Linked DNA regions of Schizosaccharomyces pombe. Changing the gene in region 3 together with the main gene of any one other region gives a genetic interaction. Each region holds a gene or a part of one and is shown on either strand. Other genes may lie near its edges.

Region 1 (3,145 bases), 930 kb from region 3:
ATCATCTTTGTTTATAATGTATTGCTAGTTAATGAATGAAGTGTATTAATAGGTTATGCATATTTGTTGCGTTTAGACAGTAAGCGTATTCATATTACACTAAATAAAGCTGTTTATCTACTAAAGGGATGACTTCAAAAGTAAGTAAGCGACATATCTTTATTATGGTAATAGTTACAGAAGTAACATAGGATGTTCTATAAAAATCAAACATCAAATGGAAATAACACGCCTTATTGAACACAGAATGTTGGAAAACAGAGATTAAAGATTACTGAAATAACTCGTGAAAAAATGGATGTAAAATTATGTTTATTAATTAAAGGTTTGTCGAATGTCACGGTATGGACTTGAGTATAATAAATTAAATAAATCGCGAGGATATGCAGTGTACAGGGCTTTGATGAAATAGATGTTACAATTGATTATATCTAAGGTTAATATATCGAAATGAACGAGAACGAATAAAAATTAGGGTAATTAAAATACAATGAATGGATCAGAAAGAGATATACACTGATGAGATGAAAGATCAACGATTCTAGCAAGTGCCAAAGTAGCGGTCACCGAAATCACCGCATCCAGGAACAACGTATTTATTAGCATTCAATTCGGGATCAATAGACGCTGTAACCATTCTAAGCTTGGGAAACTTAGCAAAGACATTAGTAATCCCCTCATTGCATGCAATGAGATTAACAAACACAATGTTTTCTTCTGGGATCCCCTTGTTGATCAGAGTTTGAATGGCGAGAATTACAGAATTTCCCGTAGCCAATAAGGGATCTAGCAACAAAACCAAACGATCCTGTGCATCCTTGGGTAACTTGCAGAACATCAATTTAGCTTCAAACGTAGTTTCATCTCTTTGCACCAATAACTTGCCGACGGGAACTGAGTAGTTGCAAGCAGCGGCCAATCCATATTCCATACTCTCTCCAGCTCTTAAAATGCTGACGCCGCATATATCTCTAGCTGGTTGGACGCCAGTATAGGTGCCGCCGGAACTAGTCTTTATTAAGCATTTCTTATAAGGTAAAGCACTCAATGCTTCTTGCATTAGCATGTTGATAATGAGATTGGCTGTGCGCACAAACTCTGAATGGCCGGTTTGCTGATCGCGAAGAATAGTCATCAATGATAACAAGTACATGGTCTGACGGAGAACCACGACATTCTCGGGCTGTTCAAGAGGAATGGACATATTGGATGGAAATTTTAATTTAACAAAACGATTCAATTCAAAAAAAAACTGAAATTCGATAAGAAAAGGTTGATGTAACAAAAGGAATTTTTTACAAAATTCGTAAGATAGAGGTAAGTTCGTAAACAGTCAAATGTGGAAACTTTTTTCTCTATTCAGGGCCAAGAATTCTTCCTTTATATCTTTTAGATCGCCAGTTTTTAGTTTTTTTCAGACACTTTACAGCCGATTTTCAACCGCGGAATTTCCGACCGTCTTTGATTAAGCTATTGCGGAACAACCGCGCTATCGCACCGAGGCACAAACGCGGGCTCTATGGGGCAAAGATTAGCCACGTTCCACAGTAGCGACTCCAAGGTTGTACGGTTTAAGAGCTTGTAACGTAGTGCTTGAAACAGGTCGCAGTGGTCCTTTAAACCAGGTGCTTTCAGCAGTGCCTTCATTAACGGTTTTTTGATATTCCTTCAGGTAATTAGCAAACTTTGTAGCCAAATGATATTGGTCGACACTGATAACAAGCAACCATTTCCATATTTTAGTTACAAGGTCATTCAAAACTTTAGGCTGGACGATAGAAGTGTCTACCTCCTTTGTTTTTGCAGCGTAAATCAATCGCAGTAAACTTGCAGATGCAAAACCCGCGTGAAACAAGACATGATCGGAGCAACGAGACATATCGTAAGCTGACAATTCAAAAATTGCATCAATTGTTTTTAGCGCATAACTTTGCACCATGCTAACATACCGCGGTATGTTCGCAAAGTCATTACCATCCGTAGCTGTTTGGATGCTGGCCTCGTAAACGACATTGTAGGAATAAAAATAGGCAATCCGAGAATATTGCGGCTCGGGTTGTTCCCAAAGATGACACCATTCCTTGCGCCATTCTTCAAGCTGAAATATTGCATAATCCAAATCGAGGGTAGGGGATCGCAGCATTCTGTATAGCATGGAGTATACAGAGAGCATTCCCAAAATGTTTCCGTCAAATTCATTAGCCTTAGTATTTGTTAATATATTACGACAATCATCAAAAGTATTTTCATCCAACATAGCATGACGACGATATCCCATGCACATAACCAAATGACCATGGCAGAGGTGATTCCACGTTCTTGCGGGAACGATATCGAGATAAGTTAGTGTAGCGCTAGATCCCGCAAAACCGTTGAACCATCCCTTGGTGCTCGAAAGCGTTCTGTGTTGCAAAGCAAACCCGCTGAGGAGCCAGAGATCTTGTTTTTGGGAAAGCCGAAGCGGTCGATAAAGGGTTAGCATAGATACAGCCTCGAAAAACTGTAGGGAAGGTGAAGTAGTGAGCAATTCCTCTGAGATAAGGCGGTCCACGATGTTTAGTACGTCCGTGTAAATCCTAGCTTTCAGAGAGGGATTGTGTCTTAAAGCAATGAGACAAGCGGTTGCAAGCATCAAATGTGATTTTGTGTATAGTAGTTCCATGTACTGGGAAGCACTGTAGTCGACAGAGAGCCAGCGCTTACCATAGCGCTCTATAAAAATTTCCAAGAGCAATTCGATTTCATCCATGGAGAGTAAACCCTGGAGGAAAACGTCTTTTTCGGATTTGAGGGAAATCTGGCCTGCAATAGGAGAATTTGTGATAGAACTGATGGCCTTCTCCAATACCTTGAGTCTATAATAAGCAGTTTAGTAAATTTGTTAGTTTGAAAGATGGTATTACAACAACAAGACTACAGTAAGAGGAATGGGTTTTTAAAAAGTCTTAAGAATAAAACAAATATATTCATACCTGTTTTCTAGTTTTGAGTTGATATTCGCGCTAATAGCATCCATATTGTCATTTTCCACTTTTCGTATAAAGTGATTTGGATCAGCCAAGCTACAATCCATGTTCAAAGAGCGGCATCTTAAGCACGCGCGGTTTTCATCCTCAACAGAACCTGCCAGGCATCTCGTTTTTTG
Region 2 (3,732 bases), 970 kb from region 3:
TCCTACAGGGTTCTTGCATCTTGGATCTCTAAGAACAGCTTTATTTAATTACTTGTGGGCCAAGAAATCGAACGGGAAATTTATTTTGCGCCTAGAAGACACTGATCAAAAGCGAAAAGTAACGGGTTCAGACTTGGAGATTTATAAAGTACTAAAGCAGTTCAATCTTCAATGGGATGAAGGACCAATCGTCGGTGGTCCCTATGGTCCTTATGAACAGTCGAGCCGTTTACAAATTTACCAAAAGTATGCTCAGCACTTAATAGAAACTGGGAGAGCCTATGTATCTTATTCGGTCCCTATCGCTACTACCAAAATTGATTCATCTACAAAATATCATGAAATATCAATTGATGACTTGACTGATGCTCAAAGAAAGCTTTATAAATCTAAAAAATTCCCTTACGTTGTTCGATTCCGAATGAAGGAACCTTCACCATTCACTGATTTGGTGTATGGAAAAATTGCAATAAAATCAGATTCCAGAGAAATAGAGGAATCTAATAATTTTGTAATTTTAAAATCTGATGGATTTCCCACATACCATTTTGCCAATGTCGTTGACGATCATTTAATGCATATCACTCACGTTATTAGAGGAGAGGAATGGGTACCATCTACGATTAAGCATATACAACTTTATGAAGCATTTGGATGGAAACCTCCCAAATTTGCTCATCTTCCACTTTTAGTCAACCCTGACGGGTCAAAGCTCAGTAAGCGACAAAATGATGCACATGTATCTAGTCTTCTTCAAGAAGGGTTTCTTCCTGAAGCAATTCTTAATTTTATTGCCTTAATGGGCTGGTCTTCGCGTCAGAAAAGTGATTTTCTCCCGATGAAAGAACTTATCGATCTGTTTTCGATCGATAAACTAACAAAGAGCTCCTCAATTGTTGCCTTTGAAAAGCTTTACTTTTTAAACAAAAATTACCTGAGGAGAGCGATATCAGATGTTAACAGACTCGATGAGCTTATCGAACTGGTTCAGCCGAGGTTGATCCAAAAGTTTTCTCATTCTTCTAGAAGTCATGACAAAAGTTACACTAAAAAACTCTTGCTACTTTTAAAAAATAAAGTGCACACGATTAAGGAGTTTGAGAAGATAGTGTTCTATTTTTATGAGGCATCTGACCTTCAACAAATTAGAAGTTTAGTTTCCTCCCTCATCACGGTAGAAGAGCTTCCAAAAATTTTAACAACAATTTTAAACAAGTTCGAAACCATCGAATGGAATACTCATGAGATACAGATTAGTTTAAAAGAAATTGCCATGGAGCATCAGATGCCTTTGAAAAAAATACAGTCTTTACTTCGATATGGCTTATGTGGAAATCTGCCTGGAGGAGGTATTAGCGATACTATTAGTTTATTGGGGAAGGAAACAGTAAAATCCCGTTTGGAGCGTTTACTATTATCACTAAAGCATGAATTACCCAAAAGAAGTTGTATCGTATAATTCTAACTAACCAGATACAATCGTTTTTTCTTTGATACTTTTGATGCAGAGAATATAATAGCATTTTTATCAATCGTATATCTACAATGCGTTTTACGGAAAGGAACTTTATGCACAAATATAAATTCTCATTAGATTAGCTACAAAAAAAAGCAAGTAGCATCATTCAACAAATTTGTTGTAAGCAGTAAATGTTCAATAACTTTCAAAGTGAAATATAAAATCAAATTCACTGATTTTCTTTATGTAAAAGCAAATTATTAGTTTGCTTACAGTACTAGTTGACTTCCCAGGATAGTAGTCAGATAACTAGATCCTTCACTGTAATGTCTATTGAAAGCAAATGTATCTTATTAAAAACTTAGTGAGTTATTCGTTTTCGTTAAATATTGTTATAAAAATTTACGGTAAAGATTCGTATTTAAAACAACGCTATGCAACGAAGTATTGTAATGCTACTTACTGTAATGTGTCAAACTGAAAGACACTATCAATGCTGTCCCAGATGGACATTCTAAGGGCTGAACTTCTTACTACCAGGTACGACAGAATATACTTCAATGTCGGCTCAGAAAAGGGTGTTTTTAAAGGTTGTTATATTAGGAGATAGTGGCGTTGGAAAAACATGTTTAATGAATCAGGTATGTTAATGCTAGGGGAGTTGCTGATGTGGTCGACGTATCGTACAGACGAGCTTTTTTAAGCATTACCCTCGAATTCAACCATTGATGGTGTAGTGGTTATCAATTGAAGCGTTAAATTTTATACGTTCAGTATATTTTTCTTTTTGGTTTTTGTATTGAGCTGTAAAATCCAATACTGCAATTTCCCATTGATTTTATGTCGATAAGTTGTTATTTGTCGCTACAAGGTGATTGCTTTTAAAATTTATTCACTTTGTTATTAAATACTAGCTCAAATATGGTTAACGATCTTTACATCAGCTTCTCTATGAGTATTGCTTTGGCAATTTGTTAACATCGTCATTTTAGTTCGTCAATCAAAAGTTTAGTCGCGAATATAAAGCTACCATCGGTGCTGATTTTTTAACCAAGGACGTTGTGGTTGACGACAAATTGGTCACATTACAGGTAAGTTCCAATATAAGTTCCGCCCATCTAAATTCGTTTGCTAATTATAAACAGCTTTGGGATACTGCTGGTCAAGAACGATTTCAAAGCCTGGGAATGGCTTTTTACAGAGGGGCCGATTGTTGTGTAATTGTTTATAATGTGAATAACTCGAAGTCTTTTGACTCAGTAGAAAACTGGAGGCAAGAATTTTTATATCAAACTTCACAAGATGAATGTGCATTCCCTTTCATTATCGTTGGAAATCAAATCGACAAAGACGCGTCTAAACGAGCCGTATCTCTTCATCGAGCTCTTGACTATTGCAAATCCAAACATGGATCAAATATGATTCATTTTGAAGCTAGTGCAAAAGAAAATACAAACGTTACTGACCTTTTCGAAACAGTCAGTCGTTTAGCTTTAGAAAATGAAAGCTCGAGAGATGACTTTGTTAATGACTTCTCTGAACCTTTGCTTCTTTCAAAGCCTTTGAATAATACATCTTCTTGTAATTGCTAGATATTCACACGCTCTCTCAGATTCTTTTACATTTCAAAATGTGCTATACGTTTTCTTTTCATAATATTTTTTTACATTGCTATTTTAACAAAACTATGGTTACTTTCTGTTCTTAATTCTTCTCTTTTCCCTCTATTGATACACGTTTTTTTTTAGGTGTAAATAGTCTTTTAATTATGACCTCAGTTAATAAACTTTTATGAATTATCTATATGCTGTATTCATATGCAAAAATATGTATATTTAAATTTGATCGATTAGGTAAATAAGAAGCTTAAAAGCCTTCTTCTCCCCATTCATCCTCCATCGGTGTACAATTTGTAATATTGTTGAGTGGAGCAGAAAAAATGTTGGTAGTGGGGGACGGTGATGATGGAATTGTCTTTACGGGTGATGCTCTTATGGGGGATATCTTCATAGGAGAAAAAGGAAGGTTCTGCGAGCTGTTTTCAATGTCCATCTCGGGTGTTTGTTCTTTCAGATTAGTTCTTTGCAATTTTTCCGACATAATATTTAAAGCGTGTTCATTAACTACACGCTGCTTTGGAGGACTTAATGGGACGTTCTTAGATGAAGCCTTTGAATACGTTTCATGAGGAGTTCGAGAGTAATTTGGGTGCGGTGACTTGGATTCAAAATGTGTATTGCGAGATACAGAATTTGGAAACTTGTTAAAAGGGG
Region 3 (7,343 bases):
TTTTCTTCGTGTTATAGATTGCTCGAATACCATTATGGTAAGTTACCAGGCATTCATATTGGTCAATTAGAGTGCGCGGTATTTCGATTTCTTCGATGATGCCCAGTCTTTTTCTTAAAAGAGATATCTCAGAAGATAATTCATTGCATTTTGACTCAATATTTATAATTTTGATCTCCAATTTTCTTTGGTGTCCTGACAAAGCGTCCAAGATGATATTGTTAAAACTGATCTTTGTAAACGAATACCCAAGTTTTTCGGAAAGTGTATAAATATTATTGTAATAATTGTTAAGCCTGTCTCCAATTTTAGCTAACTCCATAATATCTTATGATTTTAACATTAAAAACAGAAGTTCGGCATCATGGCCTTGGAGAACTTGGTTTATTTACCTCTAAACTTAAGGATCGAAAGTGAGTCACAACACATTATGGATTGGGACAAGTTCATACTAGCAAGATTGTTTAATAAAGAAGTCATGTCTTTTTAAAAAAAAAATCTACATCGAACAGTATTTTGGCTAGTTTTAATTGCTAAACCTTTGTGTTGGCTTATTATAGTTAAAAAATGCTAATTAAAGGATATAAATAATACTTGAAAAATTTTATAACAAACAAGCAAATGGTATCCAAGGAATTCGTTAAGCGTAAATCTAACCTATGCTTCAGTAATTAATCAAGTAATAAAAAGGGTAATGCATAAAAAAATGTAAAAATGAATAATAAAAGTTTTGCAAAATGAAAAGTTATGATGTAAAAATAAAGTCCTTCTTTTCGCTTAAAAAGGTCGCTTCGGTTGTGAAATATCTGCAAATTGAGTAAAACAATCGACAGCTTAAATAGATCAGAAAGTACTATCATTAACGATTAACAAAAGCAAACTAACAACTGATTGAAAACGTGGTTCGCAAAAATAGCGAAAGCTTTACGAAAACAGGTTCACAACGGAGTGTTTCAAATGAAAAGACCTTAATGAAGTAATACCGAAATGCCATTTTTTAATAAATGTTGATAAGCTTAAAGATATTTCCCGTTAAAAAAAAGAGGACCCGATGTTGATTTCTCTAGTCAGTCATCGCGCCCTCGTTCACCTTTGCTGTTGTATTAAAGTCGAAAAACTTTTTCAAATGTTTTCTCTTTTTCTTCTTTTTTTTGAAGAAAGGTTTTTTATTATCTGTCTTTTTCTGCAGTTTTTCTAATCGCCAAAGCATATCCCCCATACGCTTGCTGCTTAGCCATACAGAGTCTGGTACCTTCAACGGTAACTTGCGGCCTTTCAAATATTGATCGATCAGAAACATACCGACAATAAATTCATCACGCCCCAAGACACCTGTGTGATGTCTATCAACGAGATCGTAAATTTTGGCTAAAACACTCGTTGGAGCACCACTACGAGACCAGAGTTCGCGGACAACAATATTGCAAATCAAATCATTCGGTTTGGAATATTCTGATTTGCTCAGTAAATAACCTTTATTAGCAGCCCACAACCCTTCATAGAGCTTTCTACGATTTTCATCAATAAAGAACTGCGGGAGATCAACAGTTTCGGATTTACGCAAATTGGTTCCACTCTTGTATTTTCCGTCATCACGATGGTAAAAATGTTTATGCTTTTTCTGAGGAACTCGCAATGTATGAGGTGAAGGTTTGGCAATTGATTGCTTCGTTTTTAAAGGAGGTGGGTTTTCATGAACAGCTGGAAAGATTTTGTCTGCTTTCATAGCTGCGCGTACTGCTGACGATGAGCCTGAAACATCACTTGAAGAGGCAAGCAGTTGTGGAGATGGAGAATACTCAGAACCCAATACATCACGCAACTTAAATTTCAATACTTTTGTGGGAACAGCTGAAAAGCTTAAAACCGAACTTTGCGAATCTTTGAGAGAGTTCTCGTCATCGGACATATCACTATCAGTATACTGACCTGAGCCATCAAGTATTCCATCACTGTAATCGTATTTTGAACCGTTAACTTCATCCATGCTGCTACGATTAGCACCATGTGGTACATCTAAAGGAGCGTTTGAAGATCCAAGGTCTTCTTTATCTGAAGGAGCATCATAAAAAACATCTCCTTCAACTTCAGATTCTCCTCGAATTTGACCAAGTGAAACTGAATGACGATGAGGAAGTGAAACTTTTGGCAGCACAGGAGCCAGGACTTGAGGGGTAGGTGCGTGAATGAGTTTATCCTTATTTGCAACTAGAGTGGCAGCACTCAAAGACGCATCATGGGCCTTGGACGAAGAATACGACGTTTCTTCTATGGAGGGTGTAAGTTTTTCGGAAGCAGCCGTAATGGCTGCAGCATGAGCAGCTATTTTCCTATGATGGATGTCAGAAAAAGAATTATGCGAAGGAATGTGCAATGATGACGACGACCATTCCGTTTTATTAGAAGGAATTCGTTTATGAGCAGACCCAAGCAAGTGATCAAGGGCCTGATCATTAGAAAAAGAAGGTGCTTTTTCTTTATTTTTCTGACCAGTTGCAACAATATGAGCGGCCATTGTAGGAATATCATCAGTTTCATTTATAGAGGAATGAATATGCTTTTGGTTAGCATTAGTTAATAACGATTTAATAGAACGGGTAGAAGATGCAGATGAATGGGACAATTTCTTCTTCATAGGCAACATATCCATAGAAGCAGCGGATTGGCTATCACTTAAGGAGGCTTCACGTCTTGAAAAGTCTTTCGCGGCAGCCAAAGCAGCTCCTTGTAAAGCAAAAGGGTATATGTCCGTTCCGCCGATATCGTTTTCAGAATATCCTGAAGGGGGCGTTTGACTTTCAACCTCGTCAGATTGAGGGCTTTCGTCTTCAGCATTATGCCCAAAATAATTCTCAAGGGTAAATGATTTATGTTTTCTCCTTGGTTTCCTGTGTAGATCTGTCTTAGCACAAGTAGAAGCGAGCCTTGCAGCCTTAGAAGTAATATCGAAAAGCACCGAATCAGAATGTTGTGGTGTGCTTAACGCAGAATCTGAAAGGTTTGATTTTGTCTTCATTAGCACAGTTCCAGTCGTATTAAATGCTGGCTGCGCGATTTCAGTATGTTGTTTGCTTTTCGAAGATATGGCATCAGCATGCCGACTAGCAGAAAGTGACGCCAAAGAGCGGTCATTCAAAACTTCCGGGGAATGTTGAACATTTGCAGTCTTCTCTTTAAGGGAGGTACCAGCTTCCTGAAAAGAAAGTTTACTAGAAGCTAAGGAAAGGCTTTTTTTAAGGTTCACTTCTGAAGTCTTTGCGGGTTCGGAAACAGGTACTTGAGCTATACTCGCTAACTGACTTGCTGATTTGGAAATTTCGAATGGGTTGGACGGCGTCATTACTGGAGTAGCAACGCTTCTATTATAAACGCGAGCACCAGCTTCTTTCACAGAAAGCTTACTAGAAGCCAAAGAGAGACTTCTACCAGGACTCAGATCCAAATCGATAGAAGAAGTAGCCTCCGAAAAACGGTCCTTGCTAGCTTGCTGGCTAGCAGAGATTGAAAAGTTAGAAGGAGGATGTGAATCACACATTTCAGAGATATTACTAGATGACTTTGAGGCCGACTCTGTTTGTTGAGACAATGCAGCCCGTTTGCTAGCAGATATTGGTAGTTCGGAAGATGATTGATGAAAATAAGGTAATTGTGTCTTATTCAAAATGGCAGCATTTAAAGCTTGGTGCTCAATAGCTTGCTTGATGGCACCGTTTTTCAGTTTTTCCATATTTGGGTTATAAAATGAGGTTGAAGAAACAGAGGGATCATTAATCATTAAGGACTGAGACTCGACAGCACATTTACTAGCATCATTTTTAAGTTTTTCTACCCCAAGATCTGATACTGATGGTTTTGGAATTGTAGCGTCAGAACTCTTCAACGACAGAGATTCAACAGTCTGTTTACCAGCATCAGTCTTCATTTTCTCTAACATTGGGTCTGAAATCGACGGCTCTAAAAGTTCAGGGCCACTATTCATTAGAGATTGAGATTCAATGGCCTGTTTACTAGCAGTGTTCTTTAATTTCTCAAAAGACGGGTCTGAAATTGAAGCTGTTAGTGGCGGTAAGGGATTGATTTTTGAGCTTTGGGCCATAATAGCCTGTTTGCTGGCGCCATTTCTCATCTTTTCGGACATAGGATTGGGAAGTGGAATTGCTGAAGATAACGGTTCCGCTGATTTAAATGGTTGGGACTCAATAGCTAGTTTGCTAGCTCCATTTTTTAACCTTTCCATAGCAGGATTCGGTATAATATTTGATGAAGGTAGTGGTTCCGAAGCTCTGAAAGGTGGAGATTCAATAGCCTGCTTACTAGCTCCATTTTTTAACTTTTCTGAAGTAAGGATTGGTGAAGATCTTGCTAATGAAAGTGATTCCATGTTTTTGAGAGATTGGGATTCGCTAGCTTGTTTACTGGCACCATTTTTCAGCTTTTCCAAATTCTTATCTGAGGGTTCAGGAGTAGGAGTGAAAAAATCAAACTCTCTTAAAGATTGTGCTTCAGCCGCTTGCTTGCTCGCACTGGTTTTCAATTTCTCTACGGCTGGATTCGAAAATGGAGATACAGAAGGGGAAGGACTGAAAGTCTGTAGTAAAGGAGAGTTGAAGGCCTGTTTACTAGCGGAAAAATGCATACCGGAAGAAGAAAGTGAATTGGATGAAAGAGGTTTGAATTTGTGGTAAGAAGTGGCAATTGCGGCATTCTTTAATGAAAATCGTCGACTTCGAGGATGATGCGGAAAAGATGTACGAGGTGTTGGAACGGTCAACGACCGTTTTCTAGTTGATGTACGTTCATAATAACCACTCTTTTTAGCCGCAATGGCAGCCGCGTTCGAAGCCGCCCCGCCTCTTCTTGAATCCTCGACAAAAATTTGCTTATTCTTTTTGGTGTGATACTTCGAGGATAAAGGACTAGTGGAACTTTGAGAATCATCTTGTTCAGGAAAATCCGCAAAACTCGCTTTGGCAGCAGCTAAGGGATCTAGTGGGTTGGCATCAACATATGGATCTACGGATTTATATATAGCGGAAGGTAAGCTCTTTCTGTGGTTCTGAAATAGGGGAAAGGATCCATTAGAATGCTGAAAAAATGATCTGCTTATGCTTGGAGAAACTGCACGGCGGCTGAGGTTTCTTTCAGAATGCAGTAATGGATGTCTTTTACTATTTCGTAAAGATACGGGATGAATCGCGTCCATCGCAAGGCCTTCTTGTTCTACATCAGGGAATATAATAAATAATGAATGAAGGAGGCGAAATGCTGTCTAAATCGATAAGACCCTCACAGATTGTTCAAAAAAAAGAAAGAGGTTGTGTGTTATGAATTGTAGAAAGAAGGTTACAAAACGACTGCACTGATGGAAGTAGCATACATGTGATTTTTCCTTGCGGGTTACATACCAGATGACGCATTGCTAAATGACTCTGAGTACTGCGCTAAACAATTACCTTAAAACTTTTCACCAGTTTTGTCACTCTTCCTTGCTGCCCCGTATATTGCTTACGCAGTTTCAAAAACAATGTTACCTCTCTTTTAATAAGCTTACTGACTCTTAAAGTATCAATAATAAACTAAACAATAAACGAAATTTCACTTTGATCATTATCAAACATGATAAAACAAAATATTTCTTCAAAATTTTACTCTTCAAGGAATTTGAAAAGCAAATAATTATAAGGCTAGCATCTTTTTGCAATTAACTATTAGCTGTTGATGATACACAAACATTACAACAGAGACAATCAATATTGCAAGGGTGAGCCCGTTTTTTACACGGTTAGCTAATTGAAGCATTACCGTATTGAAAATAGTAACAGCTAGTTCGAATACTAAAAAAATTTTTAGACCAGCCTTACTATCTCGAGAATTGCTGATATATTGCAGCAAATGATCACAAAAGTAACATATAGCAAATAGAACATGGAAAGTACAGCGGATCGTCAGAACATTGAAGATAAACATTTCATTAATTCTTAAGAATTATTGATAGCGTTAGCAGTAATTGAAGATTTGGAAGTCCATGAATCGTAAAAAGTTTGAGAAAGCTTATGACAATGTTATATTTCGTTTCCATAACTAACGAAATAAATCGGTATCCACATGTTTTCGTATCCATGAGTTAACATACCATTCTGGAAAAATAAATAAAAAATAAATTCCGGCCGCCGATGAAGATTTTGAGATATTTTCGGAGACACTAACTAAGATTTTTTAGGACTTTGCGTAATTTTCTGATTTCAGTTGTTGCTTAATGACATTTAAAGTTTTGTAACAGCTTTATTGTCAAGTGGCATGCCGGTAGAGTCAACGTTGTTGTCACTCATGACTTTACGGATATAGATGAGTCTTGCCTGATCAAATGAGCACTGAAGCTGTTTCATCAATCCACGAATTTGTGAAGTAGCGGCTTCGTCCAGGCCGGCCCGAGTGTCCTGAGCTAGAATATTTTGGGCGATATCAAATGAACTGGAGTTAAGCCCATTGTTGAAATCTGCTTCAAAAGAATTTTCAACAGGTGAATATCTGATACTTCGATAGCGAGATATCCAAAATCTTCTAGCAGCAAATGTAATGGCGATAATTATAGCCAAAACAACAGTGACATAAGAAACGATTATATGAAAACTTGCCATATTCGGCTATAAAGACAAATATTTAGATAAGTAAAACACTTGAAAATAATAATGTTAACGTATTCCGTTTAGAAGGAGAAGTCCAAACAGTCTAATTTCAAGTCGACCTGACTCGTTAATATGGATTTTCTTGATAATAGCGAATTTGATATGATAGTAAAAAAGGAAATTATTGTATGGTTAAAACAACATGCAGAGTTTCGTCGGGTTAATGACCACAAGTAGTAAAACAAAAAAAAAAACTTAAGGCTAGGGGTATGCGCTCAAAATCAAATACTGACCATAAACGATTACGCAAGTACTTGATTTTGCAAAATATAATGAAATTAAAGAGATTGAAAACCAATTGAACGACTAGTTGTGCTAATTATGAAGATTCTTTAGGTAGGTAGATGATGAGATAGGTCAGTAAGTGAGGCTTACCAAATCACTTTATTCAGTGCGCAGCAAAGACACAAAGTCAATACTTCTCAGTTATTTAAATGATTTCTAACTTAATAATTGTAATTTCGTATATACAGTAATTAAATTGCTCGATCCGAGATGGTTAACATAGCAAGAACATTCCATTCAAGATACGAAGCAGATGTAAATTAATGAAGCAATAAACGATTAACTAACCATCAATTATAAGTAACGTAAATTTCTTGATATGTAAAAACTCGCGAAACACGAATTTGCCTGATGATTCGATAAATCCACTTT
Region 4 (3,863 bases), 980 kb from region 3:
CTGATTGCATTTGCTTACAGTTCTATAAATTACTTACTTTCTAATTTTTATTTCATTTAAAACTTACTGAAATATTCATTCGCTTACTATGAGTTTATTTTACATTACGAGCTAAGACGGTGTTAGCTGACCTGGTTGCTTCTATAACTAAACAAATGTATAATGAACAAAGACTTATATACATATATTGATTAAATATTTAAAAAATATCGTAGCTGATAAAATTGTGATGGGTTCTTTAGCGACAGCAAAAGCAAACCTCTGAACTTTGTTATTAAAAAAATGCAACAAATTCCACTGGTAAGAAAAATATCTTCGAATGATCATTTGTTTAGTTATGCTCAGCAAAATAGTTTTACTTTTTTCAGTTTTTTGCCTTTTTTATTTCCTTGCAGTGTTTCCTCTATATAATTGTATCTATTACATATCTATATGCTTTGAGGGTGTAATTATTATTTTTATTTAGACCATTTCAAGTTTCATATTACAAGATTAGGAAATATGATTACTGGCTTCGGTTTCAATTGGTTCATCAAATTCATATTTTTTAAATATCAACAACTTATTAAAGAACTAATAATTGACCAGTTTCTTAAAACGGGTGATATAAAAACTTTTAATAACTGATACACTATGTCGATGCCGTATTGTTTCCCATTTCCTTTTGTCATTATACTGCAGTTTGCGCAGTTAAAGTGATTGAACGAAAGTATACACATAATAGATTTACAAAATGCTGAAACCCATCACAAGGAGTTGATGGTTGAATCTGTGAAAGTCCTGTTAAATGTAAAAAAATATAAACGACAATAGATCTCACGAGACTGGCAAAAAGAACGATTAAGCCAATTTTAAAATACCGCCGGCTTCCAGTTAATATACATAGCGCATCCACATTGCTAAACAAAACTACCCATTCTACGACGGTTGCCGCTATAGAAAGGTCGTAGTCCCAAATTACCATGAAAACGGGTAGCATTCTTGTGCTAGAAGAAAGTATTACAGCGCCAGACGCAGAAGTCCAAGATTTCCAACCCATTGTTAGGCATAATAACAGAACTACTGAAATTTGATACACAGTTGTCTCAACCAAACATATTAGCAGTAAAGTCAAGTACTGCCGGATAATTGGCTGGGAGAGAAATGCTTGGGCAGGTGTGAAGTAGGGGAAGAGGGCTGCGCGTTTTTCTAGTCGTGACCAAACTAAAAAAACGTTGAAAAGGGAAATTAATATGCAGAAATTGACAACCTTTGCGCATTTTGTCAGCTATTTAAAAAGCCATTGAAATGAATAAAATACTTACGTTACGAAATGTTCGTGCCGACAGAGAATTAAACAAAAGATGACGGTAAACTTGCGGTTTCATCAAAATTACATCCATGCTGATGAGAACAACATCTAATTCAATGTATTTGTCCGCAAACTGTTTGCAGTTTTTCTGTAACATAGTCGTTAGTTTGAAATTGTACTTAAAAAAAACTAAAGAACAAGTCGATCTTAACGATTACAGCAAGACTACGCATTCCACTCTCAGTATTCATTAAGCAAGATAAATGGAGACAAAAATTGAATGATCGTCATTTGCTTACAATAATGTAAATTATATTTGAAGAGAAAAATATTCATGAAGCTTCTTTTCGTCGCCGTTGGAATGGACTTGCCCTTAGCTCCTTACGATCAAGTTGACTACATCAACGAAACATATTGTGTGTATATTACTTACGCATTGAGCTAGTCGAATATTACTGGTACCCCTTCCATAATATGTGTATAAAGAATCGACTTCCGCGCCGCATTCGACGCATTTCATGGTGACGGGTGGTGGTGTCAATGTATTGAGGTATGTTTATGAACCAAACATTCGTATTCTTGGTTGACATGTAAAAACAATGAAGATATATAGAATTTAAAGAAAAAATGAAACAAGTAAGCTTATCTTTATTTGCATAGAAACATAAATACTAAAACTTATCCCAGAGTTCTACCAATTTTAAATTTTATTTGAACACTACCCAATTCCGTTAACAGACGAGTTGTAAAGCCAAAAAACCACCAATGTCAAACCTAAATTTTACAGTTCTTCAATAATATAAACAAATACTGCTTTCACTACATATTTAAAAGATTTGCGAAATAACCACGTCGATTCCAGCATAAAATCACTAACTCTCAAAACAATGCAGACTGACTGGAGCGAAAGAACGTAGTATAGACTTAGTCACATTTACAAGATTAAGCGTCTATTAAAAAGATTTTACAAAGGCTAAAATATTCGTAGAAATGAGAAACGTGAAAACAACATTCAATTGATTGAGCAATTTAAAAAAAGGTAGGTTTTTACTTTTCAGTACAACAAAAAAAAGTTTATTAGAAAAAAAATGTTAAGAAATAAATTTTGTACATGAAGCCAAATGCTGAATGAAATTAAAACAACGCTGAAAAAAAAAACCAGTCGACTGCGTAAAATGTATAAACGCATTTATTAAATGAGAAACCAGGATGTATTAACACAGCAAAACATACATCACAGGTAAATTAAATTTTTAATTAAAAGAATAATAAGTACAAAATGTCAAACAAAGAAGTCGTGAGCGACACAGGCTTGTCAAGCAACGAAAATAAACATTAAAAGAAAACGGAACGCAATCATGATTGTCTCATGAGAATTAAATAATAGAATATTAAACAATGCAGAATGGAAAAAGTTCTTTTTTAATGTACTCTTTTCTCGAGGCAAGATAAAAGGTACTCCGTTTGAACAATAACAGATGTAACAGAAAGATCATACTTTCCAGGAGCAGCATCAACTCTTGTAACAATTAGACCGATGACATGTTGAGTGTTTTGATCAAACCAAAGTGTTTCAGGTTGACCGGGTTTTATCGAATCAAGCCAATCCCGGCGGACACGAATAGGATCTTGAAAGCAAGAAAATATATCGGCTTGATGACGATCGCAGGAAGAACGAGACAAGGTAACGTGAATTCGAACATTGATATGGGGAGCAAGAAACTCCCCAGGGTATCGTTCAAAAGAAGCTAGATCCTCGTCGTCCTCAAAGGAGATTTGAAAAATAGAGGAGCAATTGTTAGGATCCAAGTGGAATACCGAATAACCATCATATTGTAAAGAATACAAACCGCGACGGGCAGACAAGTTGCAAATCGGTGAATCGGTATAGACATCCTTTGCAAAAACGCGAAGTGAATATTCGTCTAAGAAGGAAAGACGAGCACGAATGATCTTGTTGGCAATCAAAGTCAATGGATAACTGGCGAAGCTAGACTGGATAACGTCGTGTGCAGGTAAATACTGCATGACCGAGTCAATGACTTCTACTGGAAGCAGAGTAGAAGATGTTTGTTGAGCGTCGAAATTAACGTAGGAATTAGGTTGAAGGGCAGTCTGGGGTACAGACATGGGGGCTCTAGTAACACAGCTCATTTTTTACCAAACCAAAAAAAAAAAGGTAAGAAATAATTTAAAAAAAAAATCGGGCAATTAAGCTGAATAAATAAAGAGAATATAGCACCGATCGATGGAATGTGAATGAAATGAGATGATGGACGATTAACAAAACAAAATATTTCTATTTCGACCTATTCAAACCTCGATATGCGTTTCTATTATGAAGGAAAAAAGACAGTAAATTGTAAACAATTAAAGAATTAAAATGTCTAAACAAACAAGTAGCTCAAAAAGACGGAATTCCAAAATTAGTGAAAAAAGTAAATAAGCAAACTTCTTTTTCTAAAGCCAAGGAATGACTGTCAACGAGACTAGCAATGGGGAAACCTTGCAATTGAACGCTTTACGTCTCACAATACAAGCCTTGGTTTCTGCAGAATAGATGAAAGGAGAT

The links.
Region 1: mutations in irs4 (region 3) and uck2 together harm fitness more than expected from each alone (negative genetic interaction), as found in Schizosaccharomyces pombe (one large-scale study listed by BioGRID).
Region 2: mutations in irs4 (region 3) and ypt71 together harm fitness more than expected from each alone (negative genetic interaction), as found in Schizosaccharomyces pombe (one large-scale study listed by BioGRID).
Region 4: mutations in irs4 (region 3) and arv1 together harm fitness more than expected from each alone (negative genetic interaction), as found in Schizosaccharomyces pombe (one large-scale study listed by BioGRID).

Annotation. Positions count from the first base shown.
Region 1 is NC_003424.3:1,838,680-1,841,824, reverse strand, and holds uck2 (uracil phosphoribosyltransferase), read right to left. Parts: upstream 1,205-3,145; coding exon 542-1,204; downstream 1-541. Other genes in the region: protein toe1, read right to left, coding at 1,532-2,855, 2,973-3,145.
Region 2 is NC_003424.3:1,880,198-1,883,929, reverse strand, and holds ypt71 (GTPase Ypt71), read left to right. Parts: upstream 1-1,982; 5' UTR 1,983-2,019; coding exon 2,020-2,100; exon of another isoform or gene 2,101-2,451; coding exon 2,452-2,550; exon of another isoform or gene 2,551-2,604; coding exon 2,605-3,051; 3' UTR 3,052-3,232; downstream 3,233-3,732. Other genes in the region: glutamyl--tRNA (Glu) ligase Mse1, read left to right, coding at 1-1,459; antiparallel microtubule cross-linking factor Ase1, read right to left, coding at 3,326-3,732. UniProt on the Schizosaccharomyces pombe protein: Ypt/Rab-type GTPases are key regulators of membrane trafficking and intracellular vesicular transport.
Region 3 is NC_003424.3:912,952-920,294, reverse strand, and holds irs4 (ENTH/VHS domain protein), read right to left. Parts: upstream 5,334-7,343; 5' UTR 5,204-5,333; coding exon 1,064-5,203; 3' UTR 520-1,063; downstream 1-519. Other genes in the region: protein mcp1, read right to left, coding at 1-322; SPOM_SPAC1687.08 (uncharacterized protein), read right to left, coding at 5,677-5,967; SPOM_SPAC1687.07 (uncharacterized protein), read right to left, coding at 6,264-6,638.
Region 4 is NC_003424.3:1,890,502-1,894,364, reverse strand, and holds arv1 (Arv1-like family protein Arv1), read right to left. Parts: upstream 1,822-3,863; 5' UTR 1,812-1,821; coding exon 1,725-1,811; exon of another isoform or gene 1,440-1,724; coding exon 1,305-1,439; exon of another isoform or gene 1,250-1,304; coding exon 671-1,249; 3' UTR 519-670; downstream 1-518. Other genes in the region: pof15 (F-box protein), read right to left, coding at 2,714-3,445. UniProt on the Schizosaccharomyces pombe protein: Mediator of sterol homeostasis involved in sterol uptake, trafficking and distribution into membranes. Also regulates the sphingolipid metabolism.